4 linked regions of the Anolis sagrei genome follow. The protein of the gene in region 4 purifies or fractionates together with the protein of the main gene of each other region. This does not show direct contact. Links are inferred from orthologs where the notes say so. Each region holds a gene or a part of one and is shown on either strand. Other genes may lie near its edges.

Region 1 (7,523 bases), on a different chromosome or scaffold from region 4:
TTTGAATGTTGTTGTTCCACTCTGAACTTTTTACTCCAATCATCACACTGATAACACTTAAAACAATACTCGTCATGCCACTTCGTCACTTTCAACTTGACCACTTTGAAATTTGAGTTGCTTTTATGCCTTACCTTTTCTCCCCACTCCTTATCCAGTCAACACAATTCTCCTTCATCAAAACTGCCTCTCAGACCTACAACTCCCGCAATGTATATCATCTCCTACATTATTCACTACTTTAGCTCAGTAAAGATTTTGTCGCCCAGTCAAAAGATCAGGAAGTGGGAAAAGTATGAGAATCAACAGAACAGCCCAGGGATGAGGGGAAAGGCAGCCCTCCAGATATTATAGAGTAGCAACTCTTGACCAATCAGCCAAAAGTGCTAATGGAATTCCAGGTCAACAACATCTAAAGACCTACAAGTTGTCCATCCATTGATGAGACAATATTGACATTGCTGGACAAACATTCTGACCTGGAAAAAGGAGGTTTCTTACGCAGAATATGCTGCTGCCTCTGAGGGTGGGAGAGTCTCCTTTTCTGGAGGTTTTTAAGCAGTGGCTGGAGGGCCATCTGCCAGGAATGCTTTCTGTATTCCTGCTTGACGGAATGGGGTTGGACTGGATGGCCCTTGGGGTGTCTTCCAACTCAATTATCCTATATTGATCCAATTCTGTCTCCTCCAGAAAAATTGCACCTCCAATTCCAATTAACATCCCACTGCCACAATCCACTCCTTGCCTGAAGTTCTTGATAATTTGCTCAAACACCTCCAAAACATCACATCCAAAATATAAGGGGTGCCCTGTTTTTCCTTTATAGATTTCTATGCCCTCAAACACTTCAAAGTTCACAGTCTAGAAGCCCCTAAAATGCCCACTTTCCTTTTCAAAGGGTGCATCTGCACTGATGAACGAATACAGTTTGACATCACTTTCAGTGTCACAGCTTAATGCTATGGAATTATGGGTGGTGTAGTTTGGTGAGCAACCAGGCCTCTTTGGCAGAGGAGGTGCAAGACCTTGTAAAACTTTAACTCCAAAGACTCCATAGTCTTGAGCCCTGGCACTTCAAGTGGTACCAAACGGCATTAATTCCACAGTGTAGGTACACCCTCAAATAAGAAAGGCCTTGTGGACCTGGAAATTCAATCTCATGGGTTCCATTGGGATTTAAAATCCAGGTAAATCTCCAAAGGGTTATATCCATATACATCTCATCCCTTTTTACTTCCACAGACATCACAATCCCTGAAATGGACCAAAGTGAGGACCACGTAAGCCCTTTCTACACTGCCATATAAAATCCAGATTATCCGTTTTGGGAACTGCTTAATATGGCCATGTCGACTCACATAATCGTGTTCAAAAAAGAAAATGTGGATTATCTGCTGGATTATATGGCAGTGTAGAAGAGGCAAAGAGACACAGGCACAAAGTAACAAGCCATGACTGACATAGGGCCCCCGTCTACACTGAACAATTAATGCAGCTCACTTCAAACCACCAACTCCCACAGAAGCACAAAAAGAAAGAAAGCCCTCAATGCGCATCTGTGGTTTATGGGCCTCAGGCCCCATTTACACTGCCATATGAAATCCAGATTATCTTCACTGAAGTGGGTTATATAGCATTGTAGATTTATATAATGCGGTTCAAAGCAAATAGTGTATATTATCTGATATGAAAATCTGAATTATATGGCAGTATGTACTCATATAATCCAGTTCAAAGCAGACAATGTGGATTATCTGATTTGATAATGTGGATTACAAGGTAGTGTAGACTCATATAATCCAGTTCAAAGCAGACAATGTGGATTATCTGCTTTGATAATGTGGATTATATGGCAGTGTAGACTCATATTATCCGGTTCAATGCAAATAGTGTGGATTATCTGTTTTGATAACATAGATTATATGGCAGTGTAGACTCACAGAACCCGGTTCAAAGAAGACCATGTGGATTATCTGCTTTGATAATCTGGATCACATGGCAGTGTAGACTCATATAATCCGGTTCAATGCAGATAGTGTGGATTATCTCATATAATGTCGATTATATGAATCTACACTTCCATATAATACAGATTTAATAATTATATGACTATGAAAGTGTAGTCATATAATCCAGTTCAAAGCAGACAATGTAGATTATCTCATATAATGTTGATTATATGAGTCTACACTTCCATACAATACAGATTATTAAATCTGTATTATATGGAAGTGTAGACTCATATAATCCAGTTCAAAGCAGACAATGTGGATTATCGGCTTTGATAATCTGCATTATATGGCAGTGTAGACCCAAATAATCCGGTTCAAAGCAAACAATGTGGATTATCTGCTTTGATAATCTTGATTATATGGCAACGTAAACTCATATAATCCGGTTCAAAGCAGATAATCCACATAACGTAGATCATATGCAAGGGGAGAAGGGGTGTCAATGTGCTTCCAGGATTTTCCTATGCAATCGACTGCAGGGCGAAACCACTTTCTTCCATACCGCTTTGAAACTGCGTTAACTGCTCAGTGCAGATGGGGCCACGATCCCAAGCGGGTTTACCTCCCCGACCCTCCCCTTGCCTGACAGGGAAACGCTCTTTCCCCGTTTCGCCTTCTCGCCTGCACTACGCGCACCCCCTCGGCCTCCCCTCAGGAGAAAACAAGACCAGACCCCCAGCGTCGCCCAGGGAAGCTGCACCGCCCTCCCCGCGGCCTCCCTCCCTCCCTCCCCCGCAAAGAGAGCTGCCATTATTACCCGGCTCCTCCGGGTGGTAGGCCCTTCCGCCCGCCCACTTTCAGGAGAACGGGAAGAAAAGCGGGAGGAGGAGGAGGAGGCGCGGCCACTGCCGCCGAGTCTGCCCGGGCCCGGCCTCTGCGGCGGCCATTTTACTCCTCTCGGCCCGACTGCGGGAAGGGCGGGGCCACAGGACTTCGGTGGCACTCTGGGAAATGTAGTCCCTCGCTGGCGGCAGTTAGCGACGCGCAGCCAGAGAGAGGACTACGATTCCCGGAAAGACCTTCGCGTCATCCTGGAAGCGGCGCGGGGGCCGACGGGAGGCGGAGTGCCGGAGACGGGCGGGGCCAAGAGCGAGGAGGAGGCCGCTTCCGCAGTGCCGCCCGAAGCCCAAGAGGAAAGCCTAGGTCTAGGTTTGGTTGTTTCACGACATTTCAGGTTCCCGAGTCTCCAGTCGTTTGGATGGAATTTTTCAGGCTGGAGCTGCCTTGCCATATCATCCAGTTGCAGCATGCAGATCAAGGCCCTTCTACAAAGCAGATAATCCACTTGATCTGCTTTGAACTGGATTATCTGTGTCTACACTGCCATATGGGGAAGTTTAGATTGTTTTTAACTTTTAATGTTCAGTAATATGGAAAGTGCAATATAATAATATAGTACAATATAATAATATAGGTTGTTTTTAACTTTTAATGTTCAGTAATAAGGAAAGTGCAATATAATAATATAGCACAATATAATAATATAGATGGTTTTTAACCTTAAATGTTCAATAATATAGAAAGTGCAATATAATAATATAGTACAGCATAATAATATAGATTGTTTTTAACTTTTAATGTTCAATAATATGGAAACTGCAATATAATAATATAGCACAATATAATAATATAGATTGTTTTTAACTTTTAATGTTCAATCATACGGGAAGTGCAATATAATAATATAGTACAATATAATAATATATAATATAATTATTATATATTATACTAGCCATCCCCTGCCATGCGTTGCTGTGGCCCAGTCTGTGTGTATGTGCTTTGTGTGTGTATATATTTGTGTATATATGTATATGTGTCTGTTTGCATGTGTATATGTATATATGGTTATGCACATGAGCTGTAATGTGGGTTTTTTTTTACTTTTAAAATCTCTTCTGCAGTGTTTTTCAGTGTTTTTATGAGTGATGGTCACTTGTTGGCCTGATACATGTATTTTGTCCAAATTTGGTGTCAATTCCTCCAGTGGTTCTTGAGTTATGTTAATCCCACAAACAAACATTACATTTTTATTTATATAGATTACTAATAATATCGCACTATAGTACAATAGGGCCCATGGTGGCACAACGGGTTAAACCGTTGACCTGCTGAACTTGCTGACTGAAAGTTCACCGGTTCGAATCCAGGGAGCAGAGTGAACCACGCTGTCAGCCCCAGCTTCTGCCAACCTAGCAGTTCGAAAACATGCAAATGTGAGTAGATCAATAGGTACAGCTCTAGGCAGGAAGGTAATGGTGTTCCATGCAATCATGCCGGCCACATGACCTTGGGAGCATCTCCAGACAACGCTGGCTCTTCGGCTTAGAAATGGAGATGAACACCAACTCCCAGAATCGGACATGACTAGACTTATTGTCAAGTGTGGTGTTGAGAGAAAAATCCTGAGAGTGCCTTGGACTGTGAGAAGATCAAACCAGTCCATACGCTAGGAAATAAAGCCCAACTGCTTACTGGAGGGAAGGATATTAGAGGCAAAGATCCTTTTCAAAGCAGACAATCCAGATTTTATATGGCAGTATAGAAGGGGCCTATTTTTAAATATACAATGATAAAGAAAGTTTAACTCTTCCAAATCCCCACCCAAAAAAGTTTTAGTGTTTTAAATACCAGTTGCGTATACTTTAACCAGAAAGCCAAAATACTCCAAAATTCAAGATTGTTCACATGGATGACTGCAAGGAGTGACACCTTTGCTTTCTGGTGGTTCAATGCACACAAACTTTGCTTCATTCACAAATTATTAAAAATGATGTGCATAAAATGATGGTTGGGCAGCTTGTATAAAGTGTGCATGAGGTAAAGCTAAAGGTTTTCCCCTGACACTAAGTCCAGTTGTGTCCAACTCTGGGGTGTGGTGCTCATCTCCATTTCCAAGCCGAAGAGCCGGCATTGTCCGTAGACATCTTCAAGGTCATTATTTTGCACTTATTGACCGCCACTCTCAGCCCTAGGGCGACTCGTGGCGGCATGACTGCATGGAACGCCGTTACTTTCCCGTCGGAGCAGTACCTATTGATCTACTCACATTTGTATGTTTTCGAACTACTAGGATGGTAGAAGCTGGGGCTGACAGCAGAAGCTCACGCCGCTCCCCAGAATTGAACCTGTGAACTTTCAGTCAACAAGCTCAGCAGCTCACTGCATCACTGGGGGTATGTATGAAACATAAATTAATTTGATGAGGTATCTTGGGTCTCACCTCCAAAACTATATCATTAAATACATGCAAATGTTCCAAAATCCGGGGCGGAAATCCAAAAACTCTCTGGTCTCAAGCATTTCAGGTATAGCTCAATTTGTAAATTGAGATGTCTAATAGAAACCGGAAATGGAGGTGGCATGAAATGCTTCCACATTGATATATCTCTTTGTACTATGAGCATCACTTCCTCAGACCTCTGCATCACGTGAATTGTAGTTCCGGCCTATAAAGTCGTGCTGTTTTTGCTCCTTTTTCTAGCCTCCCTTGACCAATATTTCATGTCATTCATCAGGATAAAGCTACACTTTGCAATGAGACAAGTTCTTCTGGCAGGGCTTCTCAAACTCTAGTCCTCCAGGTGTTTTGGACTTCAACTGCCAGAAGCCTCAGCTGCTTTGGCTGATGATCAGGGATTCTGGGAAGTGAAGTCCAAAACTCACTTCCCAGAGTGTGGGCGACACTAATGGGATTGTTAGAGAAGAGATGCCATTCATTCTTTGCTTCTTGGCATGGTGGGAGATGTAGTTCTCTCCCACTTTACTGGCCATTGTGTGATACTATGTTTATCACTACAGTTCTATCTACACAATATCTTTTTTTAAAATATTGCAATAATAATATCTATCACAGACATGGGCAAATTTTGGCCTTCCAGGTGTTCTGGACTCCAACTCCCACAATTCCTAACAGCCTCAGGCCCTTAAGCGGCTGAGGGGGAAAAGGAAAGGGCCTGAGGCTGTTAGGAATTGTGGGAGTTGGAGTCCAGAACACCTGGAAGGCCAAAATTTGCCCATGCCTGATCTATAGTATCAACAATTAAGAGGAAATCTTACACTGTATTCAAACTATAATCACATTCCAATCAATCCTAATCCAAACAAGTACATTTTGGAAGAATTTGTGGGCAGTGCTTGACTTTGGCTGGATCTACACTGCCAAATAATCTAGATGATCAAAGCCGATAATCCACATGATCTATTTTAAACTGGATTATATGAGTCTACATTGCCATATAATTCCATTCAGGTTAGATAATCTGGATTGTATATGGCAGTGTGAATCCAGACACAATTAAAAAACACATGGTTACAAATATACCAATATTAAAAATATATAGTTCAAAGATATCCCCTTCACTACTAATACAATGCAGATTTAAAATTCATAGTTCAAAATTGACTCGGTAGGCTTTCCAAAAGGAGGAGGTCCTTATTTGTGTCTTAAATTTGGATAAAGCTGGAAGAAAGGACTTTGAAAGTGTTATCGAAAATCCCCAACCCCTTCCCAAATAAAAATAAGACATAGTTTGGTGCACAAATTGTAGTTTTCCAAGGACAGAAGGCCAGATGAATGGGAAATGGGCTCCATCCCTATGACCCGCCCTTGAACCTCCCAAGGACCACTAGCAGCCCACACTCCATAGGCCCCAATCCCCCGCACATTGGCACACAACCCCAGCTCAGCAGCATAACCCAAGCCATGACAGAAATATTAAAAACTGCTGCTAGTAAGTTACTCTGCTATACATTCATGGGGAGGGTCTTTTGTTAATAAGCCCATTTGACCAACAAGCTGGATCACTCCAGTGGATGTTGGAGGCTTCAGCAGAGATCGCCCAGCTCATTCCTCCCTCCTTCTCAGCCTAGAAGGAAGATGGACAGTTACAATGTATCTGAAACACTTCCATCACGCAAGCCAATGTATCTGAAACACTTCAATCACCCAATACTATGTATCTCGTAGTGGGTTAAACCCCTGTGCTGGCAGGACTGAGGACCGACAGGTCACAGGTTCGAATCCGGGGAGAGGCGGATGAGCTCCCTCTATCAGCTCCAGCTCCCCATGCGGGGACATGAGAGAAGCCTCCCACAAGGATGATAAAACATCAAATCATCCAGGCGTCCCCTGGGAAACGTCCTTGCAGACGGCCAATTCTCTCACACCAGAAGCGACTTGCAGTTTCTCAAGTCGCTCCTGACACGACAAAAAATATTATTTTTTATTCTTGGCCTTCTGTGAATGTATCCAAGAATGCAGGGGATAAATATAAACCAGTACAGCAAAAGCACCACATGAACCCTCATTCTTCACACATACACACCCTTTCCCTCTCGCTATGAGTCCATAACAAGCACCACATGGACGCTCTTCTATGAAATTAAGGCAAATGTTCATGAACCTATGAACTCTAGTCACCTCTCTTGAGCAACTCCAGATGCCCCTTCCTCAACTTGTGTGAGAACCAGTGATGGGACATAATCTGTGGGACAAAGGACCTTCCTGAATCT
Region 2 (7,888 bases), on a different chromosome or scaffold from region 4:
ATGTCTGTATACGTTGTATGTCAAATTGGCATTGAATGTTTGCCATATATGTGTACACTGTAATCCGCCCTGAGTCCCCTGAGAGGTGAGAAGGGCGGAATATAAATACTGTAAATAATAAATAATAGTTGCCAACCAATATGCTGTCAAGGGGCAGGGAAGGCATGCTTGGTCTGACCTGCCATGACATGATAGTCAAAGTGCTCAGCTGCGGGGTCCAGGTTCACCACTTGGACTGAGCGATTCAGGGTCTCGCAGTGCTGGACCATTGTGGAGCAGTAGGTGCTCTGAAATGAAACACAGGGAAAGACATCAAGCGTCTCCAGTCCCACCCTTGTGGGACCAGAAATCAGCAATCAAGCCATTACCGTCTGGGGAGAAAGATCCTTTCTTTCCAAGAGTCTGGCCGTCAGAGTTCAAAACTGGCATTGAACTGCATTAAACAGTGAGTGAAGATGAGGGTCTCAAAACAGGGGCAGATCACCCCCTCAAAAGCAACAGTGGGGCCCCTTCTACACTACCCTATACCCTAAGAACTGATTCCAGATTATCTGTTTTGAACTGGATTACATGAGTCTACATGGCCGGATAATCTGGGATAAGATCTTGGTATAGAGAGCAATGTAGAAGGGGCCTGAGATGCCTTTTATAACAGGGGTGCTTTTATGTCCTTTACACTGTGGGGCTGCTCCCTTCTTTAGAATGTATAAAACACATGAATGTATGAAATAAAAATAATATATACATATACATTGCTAATTGTCACATGGGGATTTTTGTTGTATTTTTTTACTGTAACTGTCTGATTTTACAGGTTGTAAGCCACTTTGAATCCCCTTGCATGGAGAAATGCGAGATAGAAATAAACAAATAATAATAATAATACATATAAAATAAACATATTTTAAACTGAGGCTCCTTCCAGACAGCTGAATAAAACCCAACATTTTCTGCTTTGAGCTGGAATATATGGCTGTGTGGACTCAGATAACCCATTTCAAAGCAGATATTGGGGGATTTTCTGCCTTGATATTCTGAGTTATATAGCTGTGTGGAAGGGTCCTACGTTTTGTGAATGTTTTCTCTGTAGGGAGACTTTTCTGTAAAAGCAAAGAAAGAAATGCATCCAGGGAATCTGGAAGAACTTGCCCCAATACAACAGGCCAAGCTCACGCCCTCTCTAAGACATCTATGCTTTCATGGCTATTGTTAAGAATGTTATGTATGTATTCATGGGTATGCTTCTTCTTCTCACGATTATCTTTCTTGTACTCTAGTGTATTTAAAACAACACAACAGTAATGTGTTGTTGAAGGCTTTCATGGCCGGAATCACTGGGTTGCTGTGAGTTTTCCGGGCTGCCTGGCCATGTTCCAGAAGCATTCTCTCCTGATGTTTCACCCACATCTATGGCAGGCATCCTCAGAGGTTGTGAGGTCTGTTGGAAACTAGACAAGTGGGGTTTATATATATGTGGAATGTCCAGGGTGGGAGAAAGAACTCTTGTGTGTTGGAGGCAAGTGTGAATGTTGCAACTGGCCACCTTGATTAGAACTGAATGGCTCTGCAGCTTGAAAGCCTGGCTGCTTCTTGTCCGGGGGAATCCTTGGTTGGGAAGTATTAGCTGGCCTGGATTGTTTCTGTCTGGAAATCCTCTTTTTTTTTTGTTCTTTATTTACTGTCCTGATTTTAGAGTTTTAAAATACTGGGAGCCAGATTTTATTCATTTTCATTGTTTCCTCCTTTTTGTTGAAATTGTCCACCTGCTTATGGATTTCAATGGCTTCTCTGTGTAGTCTAACATGGTAAGTTTGTAAGAGTGAGCATTTCTGTGTTCTGCAATAATATGCTGTGTCCAGGTTGGTTCACCAAGTGTTCTGCTATGGCTAATTTATCTGGTTGGATCAGTCTGCAGTGCCTTTCATGTTCCTTGATTCCTCCAATGAAGAAACATAACCTACAAGCTATCTGCAGACCCACTAAGAAAATCCAACAAATGCTACGTTCATCCAAGGACAAGAGGGATCTTCTCACCTCTGCAGGAGTCTACCGTTTACCATGTAGCTGCGAACAAGTCTACAGAGGGACCCCCAAACGCAGCATTGCCCAAACACAAATCAAGGAATGTGGCCATATAATCAGGAAAACTCACAGCAACCCAATACAATAGTATCCCCTACACCAGGCATGGGTAAACTTCAGCCCTCCAGGGGTTTTGGACTTCAAGTCCCACAATTCCTGGCCTCAGACCTTTTCCTTTTCCCCCTCAGCCGCTTAAACTTCGGCCCTCCATAGAATCATAGTTGGAAGAGACCTCATGGGCCATCCAGTCCAACCCCCTGCCAAGATGCAGGAAAATTGCATTCAAATCACCCACGATAGATGGCCATACAGCCTCTGTTTAAAAGCTTCCAAAGAAGGAGCCTCCACCACACTCCGGGGCAGAGAGTTCCACTGCTGAACGGCTCTCACAGTCAGGAAGTTCTTCCTCATGTTCAGATGGAATCTCCTTTCTTGTAGTTTGAAGCCATTGTTCCATTGCATCCTAGTCTCCAAGGAAGCAGAAAACAAGTTTGCTCCTTCCTCCCTATGACTTCCTCTCACATACTTATACATGGCTATCATATCTCCTCTCAGCCTTCCTTATGCGGCTGAGGGGGGAAAGGAAAGGGCCTGAGCCAGGAATTGTGGGAGTCGAAGTCCAAAACTTCTGGAGGGCCGAAGTTTGCCCGTACCTGCCCTACACCAACGAGACAGGAGCTGGCCCACCTTTCCGCTCCCCGCAGGGCCCATCACGAGCTGGGCAAAGCGAGGCATCGCAACCTCTCGCCCAGCGACGACGCCGGATTAGTTTGGACCAAAGGGCTACCCGTCGCCCATGCCTCCTTTGAGTCCTCTCGCCTGCATGCAAGGCTTTGCACGTCATTTCCTCCACGACGGAAGGGGGTGGGCAACGACAAGAACCGCAGAGCAGGGCATTTCCCTTATTATTATTTTTTCAGGGCGTCCGCTAGCCCCGCCCACAAGGCAGGAGGGGCCAAGGTGGGATGGCACTGCGCCTGCGCGGCTCACTTCCTCCTCGAGCAAGGAGGCGAACAAACGTGTATTCTCGCGAGAAGTCCCTCGCTTTCGGGATTTCTGGCCTCCATCCGCCTGGAACTGGGCTGCTGCTGGGAGCGCTGCATGTGCCGCTTGGGAGGGCGGTCGGAGGAGGAGGAAGAGCTGCCGCCCCCTTCGCTGAGGCTGCCTGGGTAAGAGAGGTCTTTTCTGCGAAAGGATGCCGCAAACTGCCACTCCCAGGAGCCCATCGCATTGAGCCCTGGCCGATCAAGTGCGGGAGGTTGACTCCAGAGTCACACTGGAGAACCAGGGCAAAGCCCTCCTCAATCTCTGGCCCTCCAGCTGTTTGGGCCTCCAACTCCCAGAATGTTCGACCAGAATGTCTCCAGCTCCCAGGGCTTCTGGGAGTTGGAGGCCCAAACAGCATGACCAAGAGAGTTCTAGGATAATAATAATGATGATGATGATGTGCAGGATTGGATAGAAACAACTAGAAAAGCTGACACGATACGAGAATTTAAAGATCGAACTGCAAAGTCCCAGTGGTGATCGGCACACTGGGTGCAGTGCCTGAAGACCTTGGCCTGCACTTAAACACAATCGGTGCTGACAAAATTACCATCTGTCAGCTGCAAAAGGCCACCCTACTGGGATCTGCACACATTATTTGCCAATATATCACACAGTCCTTGACACTTGGGAAGTGTCCGACGTGTGATCCAGTACAACAGCCAGCAGACTGATTTTGTTTGCTGTGGTCTCATCTTGTTGTGTTTCAAATAATAATGTTGCAATCCCAGTCGACAGTAGGATTGAAGAGATATAACTGGAAAAGCTGACACAATACAAGGATTTAAAGATTGAACTGCAAAGACTTTGGCACAAGCCAGTAAAGGTGGTCCCAGTGGTGATCGGCACACTGGGTGCAGTGCCTAAAGGCCTTGGTCTCCACTTAAACACAATAGGCACTGACAACATTACCCTCTGTCAGCAGCAAAAGGCCACCTTACTCGAATCTGCATGCATTATTTGTCGATACATCACACAGTCCTAGACACTTGGGAAGTGTCCAACGTGTGATCCAATACAACAGCAAGCAGAGTGATCTTGTTTGCTAGGTACTAGTCTTGGTGTATTTATAATAATAATAATAATAATAATAATAATAATAAACTTTATTTCTGACCCGCCTTCTCTCCACGTAAGGGATTCAGGACAGCTTCCAAAAAACAATTGGCAGACATTCAATGGGAGATGCAGTAATAAGGTAAAACCAACCTATCCAATAGGCCTTTATTGGCATATATAACAAGACAGTGTAAAATACAGTATAAATTATAAAAAAGAAAACTTCACATTTGTTACATGTTTAGTTCACAGACTTCATTCAGGATCCTTGCCATTGAAAGGCAATGTTTAAAATATTGGCAGTTTAAAAGCATAATTAACCAAGGGTACATTATAGAACCAACAAGTAGTCCAATTAAAATAAACAGATTTAAAATACACAAATAGGATAAGATAAAACAGCCTTGGCTAAAACATTATCAATCAGGCCTCATAAATAACACATTAAGCAGGTAAAACCTGTATAAAAATAATATAGATGAGGTGTGGCTCTCCAATAAGTTAAGGCAGTTACTGTCAGCGTTGTGACATGAAGTGAAATCAATGACACTAGTCATCTTCCTCTCCAAAGGCTAAAGTGTAAAAATAGGTTTGTAATTGGGGGTTTTTAAAAGGAGAGGAGTGATGGGGCTGTCCTGATTCCCATAGAATCGTTCCCTCTCGTTCCCACCAGCTGCGCTTGTGACGGGGGATGGGACCAAGAGGAGGGCTCCCTCCGATGATAGTGTCTGGTTTATGAGTGGGGGTGTGGTTTGTCAAATAGTCTGAGCCTGAACTGTTTAGGGCTTTAAAGGTAATGATCAGCACTTTATATGTAGCCCCGAAGTGGACTGGCAGCCAGTGGAGCTGTCATAACATGGGAGTTGTCTGCTCCCTGAATGGCGCTCCCGTGAATAGTCTGGCTGCTGATCTCTGGACTAATTGAAGCTTCCAAACTATCTTGAAAAGCAGCCCCACGTTCAGAGCATTGCAGTAGTCCAGACAGGATTTGACTAAAGCATGCATCACCATGGCTAGATCGAGATGCATCTGTTTATTTACATCCCGCTTTATCTCTCCATATGGAGGCTCAAAGTAGCACACAATTAAAAACATTATAACTTAAAATATACAAATATACAACAAACTGTATTATAATTCTATATTATATATTATCAGTAGTATTCTATTTCATATATTAGTACTATTATATTAGAATATTAGAATATATTATATTATATAATTATTGTATTACATTATAATATTTATTTACTGCATTTTTACCCTGCTCTCTCTCAACCCCGGAGGGGACTCTGAGCAGCTTCCAATTTGGCAATATTCAATGCCACATTAAAAATAAAAAAATACAAACAAAAATACATTGTGCATTAAAATCATAAAAACAATAGCATATAAATACATTAAATAAGCTGTTAAACAATGCATGTAGACTCAAAATCATAATCCAAAATCCGTTACAATTACATTACATTCCATTCACTTTGTTAAACCCCTGTGCCGGCAGGACTGAAGACCTACAGGTCAGAGGTTCGAATCCGGGGAGAGTGTGGATGAACTCTCTATCAGCTCCAGCTCCCCGTGCGGGGACATGAGAGAAGCCTCCCACAAAGATGGTAAAACATCAAAACATCCAGCTGTCCCCGAGCAACGTCCTTGCAGACTGTCAATTCTCTCACACCAGAAGCGATTTGCAGTTTCTCAAGTCACTCCTGACACACACACAAAAAATCACTCCATAGCTGCATGTTGCCCTGTACTACTCTCTAAATGCTTGGTTCCATAGCCAAGTTTTAACTTTTTAAAGACAGGAGGGAGAGAGTCAATCTGATTTCACTAGGAAGGGAGTTATAGAGCTGAAGGCCCACCACTGAGAAGGCCCTGTCCCTCATCCCCACCAGCTGCACCTGCAAAGGGGGCGGGACCGAGAGTAGGGCCTCCCCAGAACATCTTAGCGTCCGGGCTGGTACGCTGAGATACGTTGAGACAGATATATATATATATATATATATACACACACACACACATACACACAAGCATAGCACAATATAAGTATTATATAGTATTATATTGTATTGCATTATAATATTATTAATGTGATTGATATATATATATATATATATATAGGGTTGCTGTGAATTTTCCGGGCTGTATAGCCATGTTCCAGAAGCATTCTCTCCTGACGTTTCACCCACATCTGTGGCAGGCATCGTCAGAGGTTGTGAGGTCTGTTGGAAACTAGGCAAGTGAGGTTTACATATCTGTGGAATGTCCAGGGTGGGAGAAAGAACTCTTGTGTTGGAGGCAACTGTGAATGTTGCAATTGGCCAGCTTGATTAGCATTGAATAGCCTTGCAGCTTCAAAGCCTGGCTGCTTCCTGCTTAGGGGAATCCTTTATTGGGAGGTGTTAACTAGCCCTGATTGTTTCTGTCTGGAAATCCCCTGTTTTCTGAGTGTTGTTCTTTATTTACTGTCCTGGTTTTAGGGTTTTTTTTTTAATACTGGTAGCCAGATTTTGTCAATTTTCATGGTTTCCTCCTTTCTGTTGAAATTTCAGTGGCTTCTCTGTGTAGTCAGACTACACAGTTGTTAGAGTGATCCAGCATTTCTGTGTTCTCCAATAATATGCTGTGTTCAGGTTGGTTCATCAAGTACTCTGCTGTGGTTGACTTCTCTGGTTGAATTAGTCTGCAGACAGAAACAATTGAAGTCCAAAACACCTGGAGGGCCAAGGTTTGCCCATGCCGGATTTACACCGTCGAATAAATGCCCTGGCTCTGTCCTATAGACTCCTAGGTGCTGTAGTTTTACAATGCCTTCAGCCTTCTCTGTCAAAGAGGACTGGTGCCAGGATGTCATCACATTGAGCCCAGTTGTGTCAAGCTGCATTCGTTCTGCAGCAGAGATCTACCCTCCAAAACATGGATGGGCTTCCTTCTTCAAAGAACCCTCAAAGCAACCTGCAGTATATGCCCATGGGGCTATCATTTGGACTCTAGCTCCCAGAATCCCTTATCATTGGCCAAGGCAGCTGAGAATGCTGGGAGTTGAAGTCCAAAACACCTGGAGGACTAGAACTTGGGGATCATTGGGGATTGTATCTGGGTTTCACTTCAGGAGCCAGAAAAGAAAAATGGGTTCCCCTGACACTGTGGAGACAAAAACTTCAGGAGCCCCATTTAGCTCAGTTAGACTCCCAGGCCTTGCTGGCTGACAATGTGCTGGTCGTTGTAGTTCAACAAAGTAACTTTTCCAAGCTGCTCAAACGAAAACATTGTTGCCCAGCCCTTCTGCTTCCCTGACATCCAGAGGGCTAATGTGACCAACTCTTTTCTGCCTGCCTTCAGCTTGGCACCCAGATTTATAGCATAGGTTGTCTTTAAGCATTACCTGGTTGTTTTCAGCGTCATTTGCCACTTTTGAGTCTCATTTTAAGCGAGAAAAAGTGGCATACAAATAATAATGATATAATAATACCACATGTTTCCATCGGAATCTTTTATACCGATTTGCTCATTCCTTAGATACAGAAAGGTGAACGTAAAAACCTTTCCCCGCTTTCTGTCTACTCCAGATCACAACAAACTGTACTTGTGTAGTTTAGCCACCAAGAAGCCAGCTTTACAGCCCCAAATAAATTAATCCACAATTGCATTACACAGTTTGTGATGTGTTGTGGGCTTCAGGGCTTTTTCGGAGGTG
Region 3 (6,892 bases), about 6.9 Mb from region 4:
AAGTTGGCCCCTGCCTGCCCTAGAGGGTTAAAGAGGCATATATTTTGGACTTTGGAAGCATATATTTGGACTTTGGAAGCATATATTTGGACTTTGAAGGCAGATATTTGGACTTTGAAGGCAGGTATTTGGACTTTGAAGGCAGGTATTCGGACTTTGAAGGAAGATATTTTGGACTTTGGAGGCAGTAACCGACAACAACAAAACTAGATGATGGGAGCCAAAGGGGCAGAAAAGGAAGCCTTTAATACCCCCCCTCTCGCCATCCGTCTCCCAATCTCTTCCAAAACATCAGCACCTCCCAACAAAGGATTCCCCCCAGGCAGAAATCAGCCAGGCTTTGAAGCTGCAAGACTTTGCAATGCTTGCCTAGTTTCCAACAAAGCCCTTCAACCTCTGAGGATACCTGCCATGGATGTGGGCGAAACGTCAGGAGGGAATGCTGCTGGAATATGCCCAGACAGCCCAGAAAACTCATAGCAACCCAGTGATTCCAGCCATGAAAGCCTTTGACAACACACAGAAAGAATGAATAAAAAATAATAACATAATATTCTGTTATTATTATATCTAATAATAAGGATTTCCCCAGGCAGGAGCCTGGCTTTGAAACTGCAAGGCCATTCAATGCTAATCAAGGTGGCCAATTACAACATTCATATACCTCAAGCAGATGAGAATTCTTTTTCCCGCTTTGGACATCATTCCACAGGGATATATATAAACCCCATTTGCCTAGTTTCCAACAGGCCTCACAACAATATAATAATAATAATAATAATAATAATAATAATAGAGAGAGTGAGGATGCTTGCTTGCCTAGTTTCCAACAGACCCCCCCCCCCCTTCAACCTCTGAGGATTCTTGCCATGGATGAGGGCGAAACGTCAGGAGGGAATGCTGCTGGAACGTGGCCAGACAAACCTGAAAACTCACAGCAACCCAATAATAATAATAATGGGTTGCTGTGAATTTTCAGACCTGGGAACCCCACAACCTCTGAAGATGCCTGCCATGGATGTGGGCGAAACATCAGGAGAGAATGCTGCTGGAAAAGTGGCCAGACAGACCTGAAAACTCACAGCAACCCAAAGGTAAGGCTGTTTTGGGGATTTGGCCAACAGACCTGACAAACTTTGGGGATGCCTGTCATAGATGTGGGCAAAACATCAGGAGAGAATGCTTCTGGGACATGGCCAGAAAGTCCAGAAAACTCACAACAAGCCACACATTAATTCTGCAATATAGATGCAGCCTACCCGGTGAGATGTCAACATGCAGTTTGTTGGTGCAGAAAAAAGGGACCGTTTATATTATTATTATTATTATTATTATTGAAATGTCGTCAGGAGGGAAGGCTGCTGGAATGTGGGCAGAGGTACCTGAAAACTCACAGCAACCCAATTATTATTATTATTATTATCACAATCATGTCACAACCCTATTATTATCACAATTATATCACAGCAACCTAAAACCAATCAAATCATTTATTTCGGTCATTGACCAGCACAGGAAATAGTCACATTTCCATACAAACTTGGTATGTTTGGTACATTAAAAATATAAATATAACTACAGAAGCACAATATGGGTGAGGGAGCAGAAGGGGAAACAGGGTAAAAACATACAATGCCCAGATCCATCACCAAATTGTAGATTCAGGGAAGAAGATTACTGGGTTGCTGTGAATTTTCAGACCTGGAAACCTCACAACCTCTGAGGATGCCTGCCATAGATGTGGGCAAAATGTCAGGAGATAATGCTTCTGGGACATGGCCAGACAGCCAGGAAAACTCACAGCAACCCAATAATAATAATAATAATAATAATAATTGGTTGCTGTGAATTTTCAGACCTGGAAACCTCCCAACCTCTGAGGATGCCTACCATAGATGTGGGAGAAACGTCAGGACAGAATGCTGCTGGAAAAGAGGCCAGACAGACCTGAAAACTCACAGCAACCCAATTATTATTATTATTATTATTATTATTATCACAATTATGTCACAACCCTATTATTATTATCACAATTATATCACAGCAATTCAATAATAATAATAATAATAATAATAATGGGTTGCTGTGAATTTTCAGACCTGGAAACCTCACAACCTCTGAGGATGCCTGCCATAGATGGGGGAGAAACGTCAGGAGAGAATGCTCCTGGGACATGTCCAGACAGCCCAGAATACTCACAGCAACCCAATAATAATAATAATAATAATAATAATAATAATAATAATAATGGGTTGCTGTGAATTTTCAGGCCTGGAAACCTCACAACCTCTGAGGATGCCTGCCATAGATGGGGGAGAAACGTCAGGAGAGAATGCTGCTGGGACATGTCCAGACAGACCTGAATACTCACAGCAACCCAATAATAATAATAATAATAACAATAATAATAATAATAATTACTGTGAATTTTCAGACCTGGAAACCTCACAACCTCTGAGGGTGCCTGCCATAGATGGGGGAGAAACGTCAGGAGAGAATGCTGCTGGGAAAGTGGACAGACAGACCTGAAAACTCACAGCAACCCAATTATTATTATTATTATTATTATTATCATCATCACCCTGATATCCTTGAGTGTGCCTCGTGGGCGGGGCCTGCGGCCTAGCGTCCTGTCCGAAGCCCCTCATTTTCCTAGGCCTCACCTCGTCGCAGGTTCTGGATCCAGTGCCGGACGATGGCGTGGTGGTGGCGCTTGTTCTCCAGGCACCACGACGACAGGCCCTGGATGGACTCCATGGTGTTGGTCACGGCCTGCAGCTTCCTGTCCAGCGAGGCCTCCAGCGAAGACGACGAGGCGGAGGAGGAGGAGGAAGGCGCCGCAGCCGCCGAGGAGGAGGAGGAAGACGAGGACGACGAGGACGACGACGAAGAGGAGGAGGAGGAGGCCTTGCCGCCACCGCCGGCCGCCATTTTGCCTCCCCTCATCGGTCGCACAAGCAACGCCGCTGAGGGGAGGGGAGAAGACGCGTCAGTGCGCAGGCGCGCTTTTGGAACCCTCACTGCGCAGGCGCGGGGGACGGTTCAATCCCTTTCTCGCACACGCCTCCATCCCCGCGCAGGCGCATTGGCCTCACAAACTCTCAAGCGCTGAAGGGAAAAGTAGGCCCCGCCCCTTTTCGCAAGCTCCGCCCACCCTTATCTTCCATCCCCGCGCAGGCGCACTGGCCTCCCAAACTCCCAAGCGCTGAAGTTATACCAAAAGGAAAAGAAGTAGTCCCCGCCCCTTTTCGCAAGCCCCGCCCACCTTCTCTTCCATCTCCGCGCAGACGCACTGGCCTCCCAAGCGCTAAAGTTATTCCAAAGGGAAAAGTAGCCCCCGCCCCTTTTTGCAAGCCCCGCCCACTCCTCGCTTCCATCCCCGCGCAGGCGCACTGGCGACCAAGAGTCTCCCAAGCTCTGAAATTATTCCAAGGGAACAGAAGTAGTCCCCGCCCCTTTTCGCAAGCCCCGCCCACCCTTATCTTCCATCCCCGCGCAGGCGCACTGGCCTCCCAAACTCCCAAGCGCTGAAGTTATTCCAAAGGGAAAAGAAATAGGCCCCGCCCCTTTGCAAGCCCCGCCCACCCTTAGCTTACATCCCCGCGCAGGCGCACTGGCTTTCCAAACTCCCAAGCGCTGAAGTTATTCCAAAGGGAAAGATATAGGCCCCGCCCCTTTTCTCAAGCTCCGCCCACCCTCCGCTTCCATCCCCGCGCAGGCGCACTGGCCTCCCAAGCGCTAAACTTATTCCAAAGAGAAAAGTAGGCCCCGCCCCTTTTTTCAAGCCCCGCCCCACTCCTCTCTTCAATCTCCGCGCAGGCGCACTGACGAGCAAGAGACTCCCAAGCGCTGAAGTTCTTCCAAAGGGAAAAAAAGTCGGCCCCGCCCCTTTGCTCAAGCTCCGCCCACCCTTCGCTTCCATCCCCGCGCAGGCGTACTGGCGAGCAATATTAAATTTAATATTTTAATATTTTAGTATTTGCCATCTTAAATATTTCAATAGATTAAAATGTTTTTAATATTTAATTTTAAATAATATTGGATTTAAATATTAAAATATTAAATTTAATAAACAATTTTAATTTTTAAAATATTTAATACAAATATTTCAATAGATTAAAATGTTTTAAAATATTTCTAGTATTTCCCATATTTGATGTTTTAATAAATTGAAATAATATCAAAATATTCAATTTAATAAACAATATTTAATTTTAAAATATTTAATACAGGTAGGAAAATGCACATTTCAAAAGGAAGAACAGCAATTTCCCCCCCGTTAAAATTTTCTATCTCTTCCCAATGGAAAATTTATCTTGCCCATTGCCCCGCCCACTCCACCAATCAATCATTTAGCCTGGCAACCACGCTACGCATGCGCAAGAGATCCCAACCACGTGCCCAAGGAGGCCAAAGGAACGATTGCTCAGGCTGACGAAGCAGCCAAAAGGTGGCGTTTGCCGGACCCTTATTGGTGGAACCTTGCCCGCCTACTTTCGGAGTAACCAATAGGAAAGCGGAATGAGAACGCGCTCCTCCAATGAGGCTGCGAATAGAACGCGAGAATGAAAAGGAGGCGGCATTGAACTCAAACGCAGCAGTGGGAAGAAATGAAACAACTGCGCATGCGCTGCTAACCTAACCCAGCTGTGCTTTAGAGCATGCGCGGACTAAAGACTCAAAAAAGGGGAGGACGCCTCTGCGCATGCGCAAAACTCCAGTTTCATATAGTATTGAGCCATAGTGGTGTCAAACCGCATCAATCTTCCAGTGTGGCTGAACCCAAATTTACGAAAACACGTGAAAAAGATCAGAGTGCACTTTTGAGGCTCCTTCAAGACTTTTTCCCCCAATTGTACTAGTGTTTATTTCTCAATCTTTTGTTTTTTTAAAGGTAAACAATAGTAAAAATGTCTGTTTTTAAAGGATCTATGAATCCTAGAGTTGGAAGAGACCTGGTGGGTCATCTAGTCCAACCCTATTCTGCCAAGAAGCAGGGAAATCACATTCAAAGCACTCCTAACAGATGGTCATCCAGCCTCTGTTTAAAAGCTCCCAAAGAAGGAGACTCCACCACACCCTGAGGCAGAGAGTTCCACTGCTGAACAGCTTTCACAGTCAGGAAGTTCTTCCTCGTGTTCAGGTGGAATCTCCTTTCCTGTCGTTTGAAGCCATTGCTCCATTGCGTCAAATTGATGGCGAAAGGCATCTTCCAATGAGTAGAAGGTGCGAAATAGAACATTAGGCCCCATCTACACTGCCATATAATCCTGTTTCAGAATGCAGATTGAACTGGATTATATGGAAGTATTTATGACATTTATACCTCACCCGAAGGGTATGTATGCATGTACATGCAATATATTATATTATTAGCATAGCACAGTATTAGTATTATATATTACTATATTGTCCCATACCACTATACTCAATATTATTAAGAATATTACAATATATATTAGCATAGCACAATCTTAGTATTATATATTTCTATATTGCATCATACCATTATACTGCAGTATTATTCGTAATATTACATATTATATTGTATTACAATATTTTGATCAATATTATATATACATACAATATATTATTAGCATAGCACAATACTTGTATTATATATTACTATATTGCACCATACCATTATACTGTTGTATTATTAGTAATATTACATGTGATATAAGATATATATTTAATTATTATATTGTATTATATACAATGTTATGATCAATACTATATGTACATACAATATCTTATATTATTAGCAATATTACATGTGATATAAAATATATAATTATTGTATTATATTACAATATTTTGGTCAATATTATATGTAAATATAATATATTATATTATACTATATTGCTATATTATATATAATATATTATACTATATATATTATATATATACTATATATTATATAATATACTATATAATATATATAATATATTACTATATTGTGCGATACCACTATACTGCAATATTATTAGTAATATTACATGTAATATAAAATACATTATTATAGTATTATATTGTATTACACTATTATGATCAATATTATATGTACATACAATATATTATATTATTAGCATAGCACAACCTTAGTATTATATATTACTATATTGCACTATACCACTATACTGCAATATTATTAGTAATATTACATGTAATGTGAAAAATAAAATTATTTAATTGTTTTACAATATTATGATAAATATTATATGTACATACAATATATTATATTAGCATAGCACAATATTAGTATTATATATTGCACTATACCACTATACTGCAATATTATTAGTAATATAACATGTAATATAAAATATATAATTGTTGTATATTATTACTATATTGTATTACAACATAATGATCAATATTATATGTACATAAAATATATTATATTATTTGCATAGCACAATATTCCTATTATATATTACTATATTGTGCTAAACCACTATACTGCAGTATTAATAATAATATAACATGTAATATAAAATATATAATTATTAATTATTATATTGTATTACAATATTATGATCCACTATACTGCAATATTATTAGTAATATTACGTGTAATATAAAATATATAATTGTTATATATTATTATATTGTATTACAATATTATGATCAATATTATATGTACACACAATACATTATATTATTAGCATAGCACAATATTCATATTATATATTACTATATTGTGCTAAACCACTATACTGCAGTATTATTAATAATATAACATGGAATATAAAATATATAATTATTATATTATTATATTGTATTACAATATTATGATAAATATTATGTGTACATACATACAATATATTATATTAGCATAGCACAATATTAGTATTATATATTACCCTATACCACTATACTGGAATATTAT
Region 4 (7,559 bases):
TTTGAGAACACAGAAATGCTGGACCACTCTCACAACCATCATGTCAGATTATACAGCCATTGAAATTCACAAGCATGTGGAAAATTTCAACAAAAAGGAGGAAACCATGAAAATGAACAAAAACTGGCTACTAGTATTAAAAAAAACTCTAAAATCAGGACAGTAAATAAAGAACAACACTCAGAAAACAGAGGAATTCCAGACATGAATCAATCAGGGCCAGCTAACATCTTCCAACAAAGGATTCCCCCAGGCAGGAAGCAGCCAGACCTTGAAGCCGAAAGGCTTTTCAATGCTAAACAGGGTGGCTAATGGCAACATTCACACCTGCCTCCAACAGACAAGAGTTCTTTCTCCCACCCTGAGCATTCCACAGATATACAGGGTGCGGCAGCATAACTTCCTTTTTTAAAATGCGTGCCATTCAGTCGGTTGAAGACGTAGTGGAGCGCTAGTGGTCTCGTTCGAGAGGCGGGAGTATAAAGTTTTGTCCTGACACAGTTCAGTTGCTATCATGCATTGGAACAGTGAGGAGCGTGCTTTTGTCGTTGAGGCCTACTTTTCGAGCGGATTTGGAGTGGCCGGCCCGCTCTCCAGATTTGGCCCATTGTGATTTTTTTCTGTGGGGTTTTTTGAAATCCCGTGTTTATGTGAACCGTCCAAGGACCCTCCAAGATTTGAAGACCAACATCCAGGAAGAAACTGCCAACAGAACGCCTGCTATGGTGGCAAGAGTCAGCAACACTAGAAATCGGTTTACTCAGTGTTTGGAGAATGGGGGATGTCACCTACCTAATTTGATCTTCAAAACTACGTAAAACAACACTTTAGGTATGTGCCTACACTATAAAAAAAATAAAAAAAATCTGATTCATACAATGGGTTTTATTAAGTTTTGAAAAAAGGAAGTTATGCTGCCTCACCCTGTATAAACTCCAATTACCTAGTTTCCAACAGACCTCACAACCTCTGAAAATGCCTGCTGTAGATGTAGGTGAAATGTCAGGAAAGAATGCTTCTGCAACATTACCCTACAGCTCAGAAAACTCACCACAACCCAGAGATTCTGGCCATGAAAGCCTCCAGCAACACAATGATGAATCATTTGGAAAGCTCTGGTTGTGAGAGTGACTGGAGGAGAGGAGAAAAAGTTGGATGCAGACCAATCACCACCTTCAAAGAAGTCCTAAATCGCATGGTATCTACAGGAAATAATCAGAAATAACCTTGTTCTCTGCTGGGACCTGAGACCTATGAAGGGTTCTCCATGTCCTGTTTGCAACGCTTGGCTGCCAGGTCCTCATTGTGGGCTTTGCGAATGTGCCGGTAAAGGTCGCCGGACTGCGTGTAGCTCCGCATGCAGTAGCGGCATTCGTAGGGCCGTTCCCGTGTGTGGACGGTGGCGTGGCGCCGGAGTGTGTAGGAGCACGAGAAGGTCTTCCCGCACGTCTTGCAGGTGGGCACATCGTCGGTAAAGATGCCGAAGCTGGAGTGGGACTCGAAATCCGGCAGGTACATCTGTTCATGGAGGGGCGGCGTCACCATGTTCGAGAAGCTCTGCCCGCCAGGCATGGGGATCATGTGATACGGGAGGTGCTCTTGGGACAGGAAGCCGCTTTCCGACGTCACTTCGTCTATCCCAGCAGGGTCTTCAAACGTGTCCAAATGGCGCCCACATCTTCCAGGGAGCGCTGTCTCTGAGGCAGACCTTTGGAAGATGCTTTCCAATCTGAACTCTGCGCCCTGTCCCTCCAGTTGCTCTGTCGCATCAGACTCCTCGTCGGAAATCACAATGGCTTCCACTTTGACCTTGACAGACGGCCGGTTTGTTTCCTTCTGACAAAATGTGTCTGTCCTTTGCTCCAAATACCCCTCTGGAGCGTGGTCTGTGTTAGAAGAACCTTCATTTGCTAGAGAAAAGCTATTGTGTGGGATTGTTTCAGTGGAACTGCTGGGACTAGAGAAAGAAATGTCAATCACGGGTGCTTGTGGTGGCTTTGTTGGCAGCGTGATTTCCATGCCTGGCTGCGTTGTATCTGCCACATCCAAAGTAGAGGCCGCAGTTTCCTCCAAAGCAACCTTCTCTCCTCCTTTCCACTCCTCTTTTTTGTCACTGTCTTTCTGACACAGGGATGGCAATGGGAAGGGCTGAGGCTCAGGCATCGGAGGCTGAAACTTGGAGGTACTGGGCAGAAGTTCTGAATTGCCCGGGGCCTCCTCTTCCCGCTTGGTGCTGTCCGCTTCAGTCAACGCTCGGGCCTGAAGCTTCTTTTTGCACACCTTAACAATGTCATTCATGTGCAGGTAGCTGGCCGCTGCCAAGACATCCTCGACTGGCATGTCGTTGAAAGACAGGCTGCCTTTGTACATGAATTCCAGCAAGAGTTCGAATGCCGGGGCAGTGACGATCTCGTTGTTGATGGACACCACGTCCCGCTTGTCCAGGCGCTCCTTGTAGAACATGTGGAAGAAAGTGCTGCAGGAGGCCAACACAGCTCGGTGGGCCAGGAACTGGGTACTGCCCACCAGGACGGTGCAGTCGCACAGGAAGCCATCATGCTGCTGCTCCCACAAGCTCCGCAGCACGTTCTGGCTGTGGTTGGGGAACTCCATGCCGAGGCCTCTCTCACGGTCGTTGGGCGTTCAGTGGCATAGCTCAGCCTCCTTTGGGACAGCAAGAGAAGACACTTGGTAACTTTAAATAATAATAATAATAATAATAATAATAATAAATAATAAACTTTATTTGTACCCCGCTACCATCTCCCCAAGGTGCGGCTTACATGAGGCCAAGCCCGAAGTACATCAAACAAACATCAATAGCACAACATTAATCAACAATCAATAAAATACAAATCATATAAATCACATAACAAAAACAACAATCAATAATGACATATTAAAAATGGTCGGGCCAAATGTAATAGATTAAAATTGAGAATATGCTGATGTGAACAGGTAAAATGTAACTGGGGTCGGATTTTTCAGAGAGAAACGAGGGAACGCAATCCATCCTAAGTCAGTATTTAAGAAATTACACTGCTTAGCCGGTATTGCACCACCTGACATCCGCCGGGAAGTAGCAGCCAATAGTGAAAGGACCAAGGCAGAGACATCTCCAGCTCATCCCCTGTTTGGATATCAGCCAGCACGTCAACGACTCAAATCAAGACATAGTTTTCTTAGATCTACAGAGACACTCGCTGGAACACCCCAGCAAGCGAGAGTCCAAAAGTGGCAGGCCCAAACCCAGCACCTCAATTCATGGCTGATACCAGATGAGAGACTCCCTTCTGGGCACACAGAGGACTGGGCGACTTGGAAGGCACTGAACAGACTGCGCACTGGCACCAAGAGATGCAGAGCCAACCTTCAGAAATGGGGCTACAGGGTGGAATCCTTGGCATGCGAGTGCGGAGAAGAGCAAACCACTGACCACCTGCTGCAATGCAACCTGAGCCCTGCCACATGCACAATGGAGGACCTTCTTGCAGCAACACCAGAGGCACTCCAAATGGCCAGATACTGGTCAAAGGACATTTAGCCAAATACCAAATTTGCAAAATCTGTGTGTTTTTTTCCCTTTTCCCTTTTTAATCTCTGTGTTTGTTTTGCTCTGTTAGAATTGTAATACAATGGTTGCTGATGACACGATAAATAAATAAATTAAAGTGCATTGTGAGGACATATTGCTGAGAGTTCTCCTTATTCTGGGAAGGCACGCCGGAACAACCACGTTTTCAGGCTCCTCCTAAAGACTGCCAGGGTTGGGGCATGCCTAATGTCCCTGGGGAGTGAGTGCCAGAGTGGAGGGGCCACCACCGGGAAGGCCCTCTCCCTCGTCCCCCCCCAAGGGCGCCTGCGAGGGCGGTGGGAGCGCGAGTAGGGCCTCTCCAGGGGAGCGAAGAGATCCTGTGGGTTCGGACACAGAAACAGGCCGTTTGAAGGGCCTGACCCAGGCATGGGCACACTTTGGCCCTCCAGGGGTCTCGGCCTCCAACTCCCACAATTTCTCTCAGCAGCGGCCTGTGGTTCGTCCGTCCAGTCACTTCCGATGCTTTTGTGGCGTCGTGGGCCCCCATTTCCCCCCATCTCTCAGCCCCCACGAGCACCCCCAGCCGGCTCCCCCCGCCCCCGCCCTGCCCGAGACCTCCCTCGCCCCAGAAGGAAGAGGCCCCCTTCCCAGCCCCGACACGGTGCCAGCAGCGCTTCCCTCTCTTCCGACGGGGCGCGCCGGGCGGAGAGGGAGCCCCTCGATTCCCCCCACTTACCCACCACAAAGCAGAGGCCCCGAGGGACACGCCCCTTTCGCCTGATTGGCTGGCACTCTCTGTCACTCTCCGCGACAGCCTCTCTTCCTCCCCCCCGCCCCCTTCGCGGGAATGTTTTCTCCTCCATCTGTCGCTCTTGAAGGGGAAGGAACTTGCTGCGTTCTGTCTCGCCATTGGTCAAGAAATATCACCATCTGTGTCCTACATTCCGATTGGAGAAGCCTCCTAGCGAGGTGAAACGTCACTCACTGTGAGTTTGCAACGGTTCAAATACGAAGGGATCACGGGAGAAGGTGCTGTTCCTTTAAGGAGGAGGGCGCTCCGACCGGCGCAGCCAATCAGGAGGAAGCTGGTTTACAGGAAGGGAAAAGGTGGCTGTTGGAGCTGGGAGCATGTTTTATCATGTAAGTTAATGGCCGGAGCTGTATTTAAAGCATCTAAACGACTAATGTATTGTCGAAGGCTTTCATGGCTGGAATCACTAGGTTCTTGTAGGTTTTTTCGGGCTATAGGGCCATGTTCTAGAGGCATTCTCTCCTGACGTTTCGCCTGCATGTATGGCAAGCATCCTCAGAGGTAGTGAGGTCTCTTAGAATTAGGACAATGCGTTTATATATCTGTGGAATGGCTGGGGCAAAGAGCTCTTCTCTGCTGAAGCTAGGTGTGAATGTTTCAGCTGACCACCTTTATTAGCATTTGACGGCCTGGCTGAGCCTGGGAAAATGTTCTGTTGAGAGGTGTTAAGATGTGCCTGGTTGTTTCCTCTCTGCTGTTTTGAATTCGACAAGAATATGGCAAGCTGGCTGCATGCTTATTAGGAGTGAAATTGGGTGCATCTACATTGCAGAATTAACCCAGTTTGACCCCACTTTTGCTGCAATGGCTCAATGATATGGAATCCTGGAAGTTGTAGTTTCCCAAGGCCTTTACTTTTCCCTGCATTGAGCGCAGGCAGATAAAGTAGGGTCAAGCTGCATGATCAGCATGACCCTACTTGACCCAGGAAGTCATGCTCCCCATGCTCTATTCTGCTTTGGTTAGACCACACCTGGAATATTGTGTCCAATTCTGGGCACCACAATTCAAGAGAGATATTGACAAGCTGGAATGTGTCCAGAGGAGAGTGACTAAAATGATAAAAGGTCTGGCGAACAAGCCCTATGAGGAGCGGCTAAAGGAGCTGGGCATGTTTAGCCTGAAGAAGAGAAGGCTGAGAGGAGATATGAAAGCTATGTATACATACATGAGAAGAAGCCACAGGGAGGAGGGAGAAAGCTTGTTTTCTGCTTCCTTGGAGACTAGGACGCGGAACAATGGCTTCAAACTACAAGAGAGGAAATTCCATCTGAACATGAGGAAGAACTTCCTGACTGCGAGAGCTGTTCAGCAGTGGAACTCTCTGCCCCGGAGTGTGGTGGAGGCTCCTTCTTTGGAAGCTTTTAAGCAGAGGCTGGATGGCCATTTGTCAGGGGTGATTTGAATGCAATATTCCTGCTTCTTGGCAGAGGGTTGGACTGGATGGCCCAAGAGGTCTCTTCCAACTCTTTGATTCTATGATTCTATGATTATCTTGATACGACTATTATAATGTAATAAATTGTATGCTCATATAATATTGATTGTAATATTGTAATACAATATAATAATATAATAATAATGTATTATATATTACATTTAATATTACTAACAATATTACAGTATAGTCATACAGTACAAAATAGTAATATATAATACTAATATTGTGCTATGCTAATAATATAATATATTGTATGTACATATACTTTGTAAGTCGCTCTTAATCCCTTTTGCAGTGAGAAGGGTGGGATATAAATGTCATAAATAAATAATAATTTTTGGTGGGCATTTTAAAAAAATAATTATTGTATAATACATAGAAACGTGCCATCTTTGAAATTAACATTCAAAATACCAGTATTTTCCCCAATCCCACCACCACTACAACCCCATCATAAATAAATAATAAATAAATATTGGGTTGTTGCATGTTTTCCGGGGTATATGGCCATGTTCCAGAAGCATTCTCTCCTGACATTTCACCTGCATCTGTGGCAGACATCCAGAGGAGCTCACAACCTCTGAGGATGCCTGCTATAGATCCAGGCAAAACATCAGAAGAGAATGCTTCTGGAACATGGCCATACAGCCCGAAAAACACACATCAAGCTAGGATTCCGGCCATGAAAGCCTTCTATAACAAATAAATATTATTATATTTATCATTAAAGAAAAGAAAGGTTTTCACCTGGTTTCATGGAGTCAAAAGGAAGACTGCCCATTAAATATGCTGCCTACATATTCACAGGTATTGTGTAAGCATCTGAATGCCAATTGCTATAGGGAAACATCAGGGGATGATGTTTGTGAGTCTCCAGGAGAATGTGACTGGCTCTTCCTTATGCCCTGAAGTAGTTGGAGTTTTCTCTGAACTGTTTAAAGTTCTTGTTATTTATTTAGTGGGCGCTAACCCCTGTATTCTCTTCCTCCAGATATCTTTGGAGCATGAAATTTTGCTGCATCCACGTTACTTTGGGCCTAACCTCCTCAACACTGTGAAGCAAAAGCTGTTCACCGAAGTGGAGGGGACCTGCACTGGAAAGTAAGTAAAAGTGGCTAGAGATTATCTTTTCCCATTGAACTTGCTTGTATTATTATTATTATTATTATTGACAGCTCTGCCCAGATAATTGAACAGTTTTGTGTGTGGGTTATCTCCAAGGCCACTACTTGGGTTTTCAAGTAGAACGGCATTAAATCATTATGCCCTCTCCTATAATTATTATTAGTATTATTTGATACACAACAAGATCTGTACACAACATACAAAATCACTATGCTGGCTTTTGTATTCAATCACATGTTGTACACTTCCCAAGTGTCTACGACTGTGTGATGTATCAGTGAATTATGTGTGCAGATCCTAGTTGGGTGGCCTTTTGCAGCTGACAGATGGCAATTTTGTCAGCTCCCGATTGTTTTTAAGTGCAGGTCAAGGTCTTTAGGCACTGCACTCAATGTGCTGATCAACACTGGGACCACCTTGACTGATTTGTGCCAGAGTCTTTGCAGTTTGATCTTTAAATCCTTGTTCTGTGTAAACTTTTCCAGTTGTTTCTCATGAATTCTATTATTATTATTTGTTACCTGTAATTAAAGCACACAGGTAAAACACAACAGCATTTAAATACATACATTAAAATACATAGGACGAAAATTAAAACACAAATACCAACACAGATAGTTCCCAAGTTACAAAGAAAATTCTGTAGG

Evidence for each region.
Region 1: the proteins of POLR2G (region 4) and SCAF1 purify together in Homo sapiens (affinity purification with mass spectrometry; 3 studies listed by BioGRID and IntAct, counting the BioPlex papers as one, with this or other methods). This does not show direct contact. The link is inferred for Anolis sagrei from reciprocal best matches to the Homo sapiens genes POLR2G and SCAF1.
Region 2: the proteins of POLR2G (region 4) and GPN3 purify together in Homo sapiens (affinity purification with mass spectrometry; 3 studies listed by BioGRID and IntAct, counting the BioPlex papers as one, with this or other methods). This does not show direct contact. The link is inferred for Anolis sagrei from reciprocal best matches to the Homo sapiens genes POLR2G and GPN3.
Region 3: the proteins of POLR2G (region 4) and RPRD2 purify together in Homo sapiens (affinity purification with mass spectrometry; 3 studies listed by BioGRID and IntAct, counting the BioPlex papers as one, with this or other methods). This does not show direct contact. The link is inferred for Anolis sagrei from reciprocal best matches to the Homo sapiens genes POLR2G and RPRD2.

Annotation. Positions count from the first base shown.
Region 1 is NC_090026.1:29,332,462-29,339,984, reverse strand, and holds the start of SCAF1 (splicing factor, arginine/serine-rich 19), read right to left. Parts: upstream 3,011-7,523; 5' UTR 2,770-3,010; intron 1-2,769.
Region 2 is NC_090034.1:42,354,026-42,361,913, reverse strand, and holds the start of GPN3 (GPN-loop GTPase 3), read right to left. Parts: upstream 3,016-7,888; 5' UTR 2,818-3,015; coding exon 2,770-2,817; intron 288-2,769; coding exon 179-287; intron 1-178. UniProt on the Homo sapiens protein: Small GTPase required for proper localization of RNA polymerase II (RNAPII). May act at an RNAP assembly step prior to nuclear import.
Region 3 is NC_090032.1:6,033,847-6,040,738, reverse strand, and holds the start of RPRD2 (regulation of nuclear pre-mRNA domain-containing protein 2), read right to left. Parts: upstream 3,001-6,892; 5' UTR 2,947-3,000; coding exon 2,664-2,946; intron 1-2,663.
Region 4 is NC_090032.1:12,908,780-12,916,338, reverse strand, and holds the start of POLR2G (DNA-directed RNA polymerase II subunit RPB7), read left to right. Parts: upstream 1-4,544; 5' UTR 4,545-4,663; coding exon 4,664-4,675; intron 4,676-6,778; coding exon 6,779-6,888; intron 6,889-7,559. Other genes in the region: ZBTB3 (zinc finger and BTB domain-containing protein 3), read right to left, coding at 1,252-2,613. UniProt on the Homo sapiens protein: Core component of RNA polymerase II (Pol II), a DNA-dependent RNA polymerase which synthesizes mRNA precursors and many functional non-coding RNAs using the four ribonucleoside triphosphates as substrates.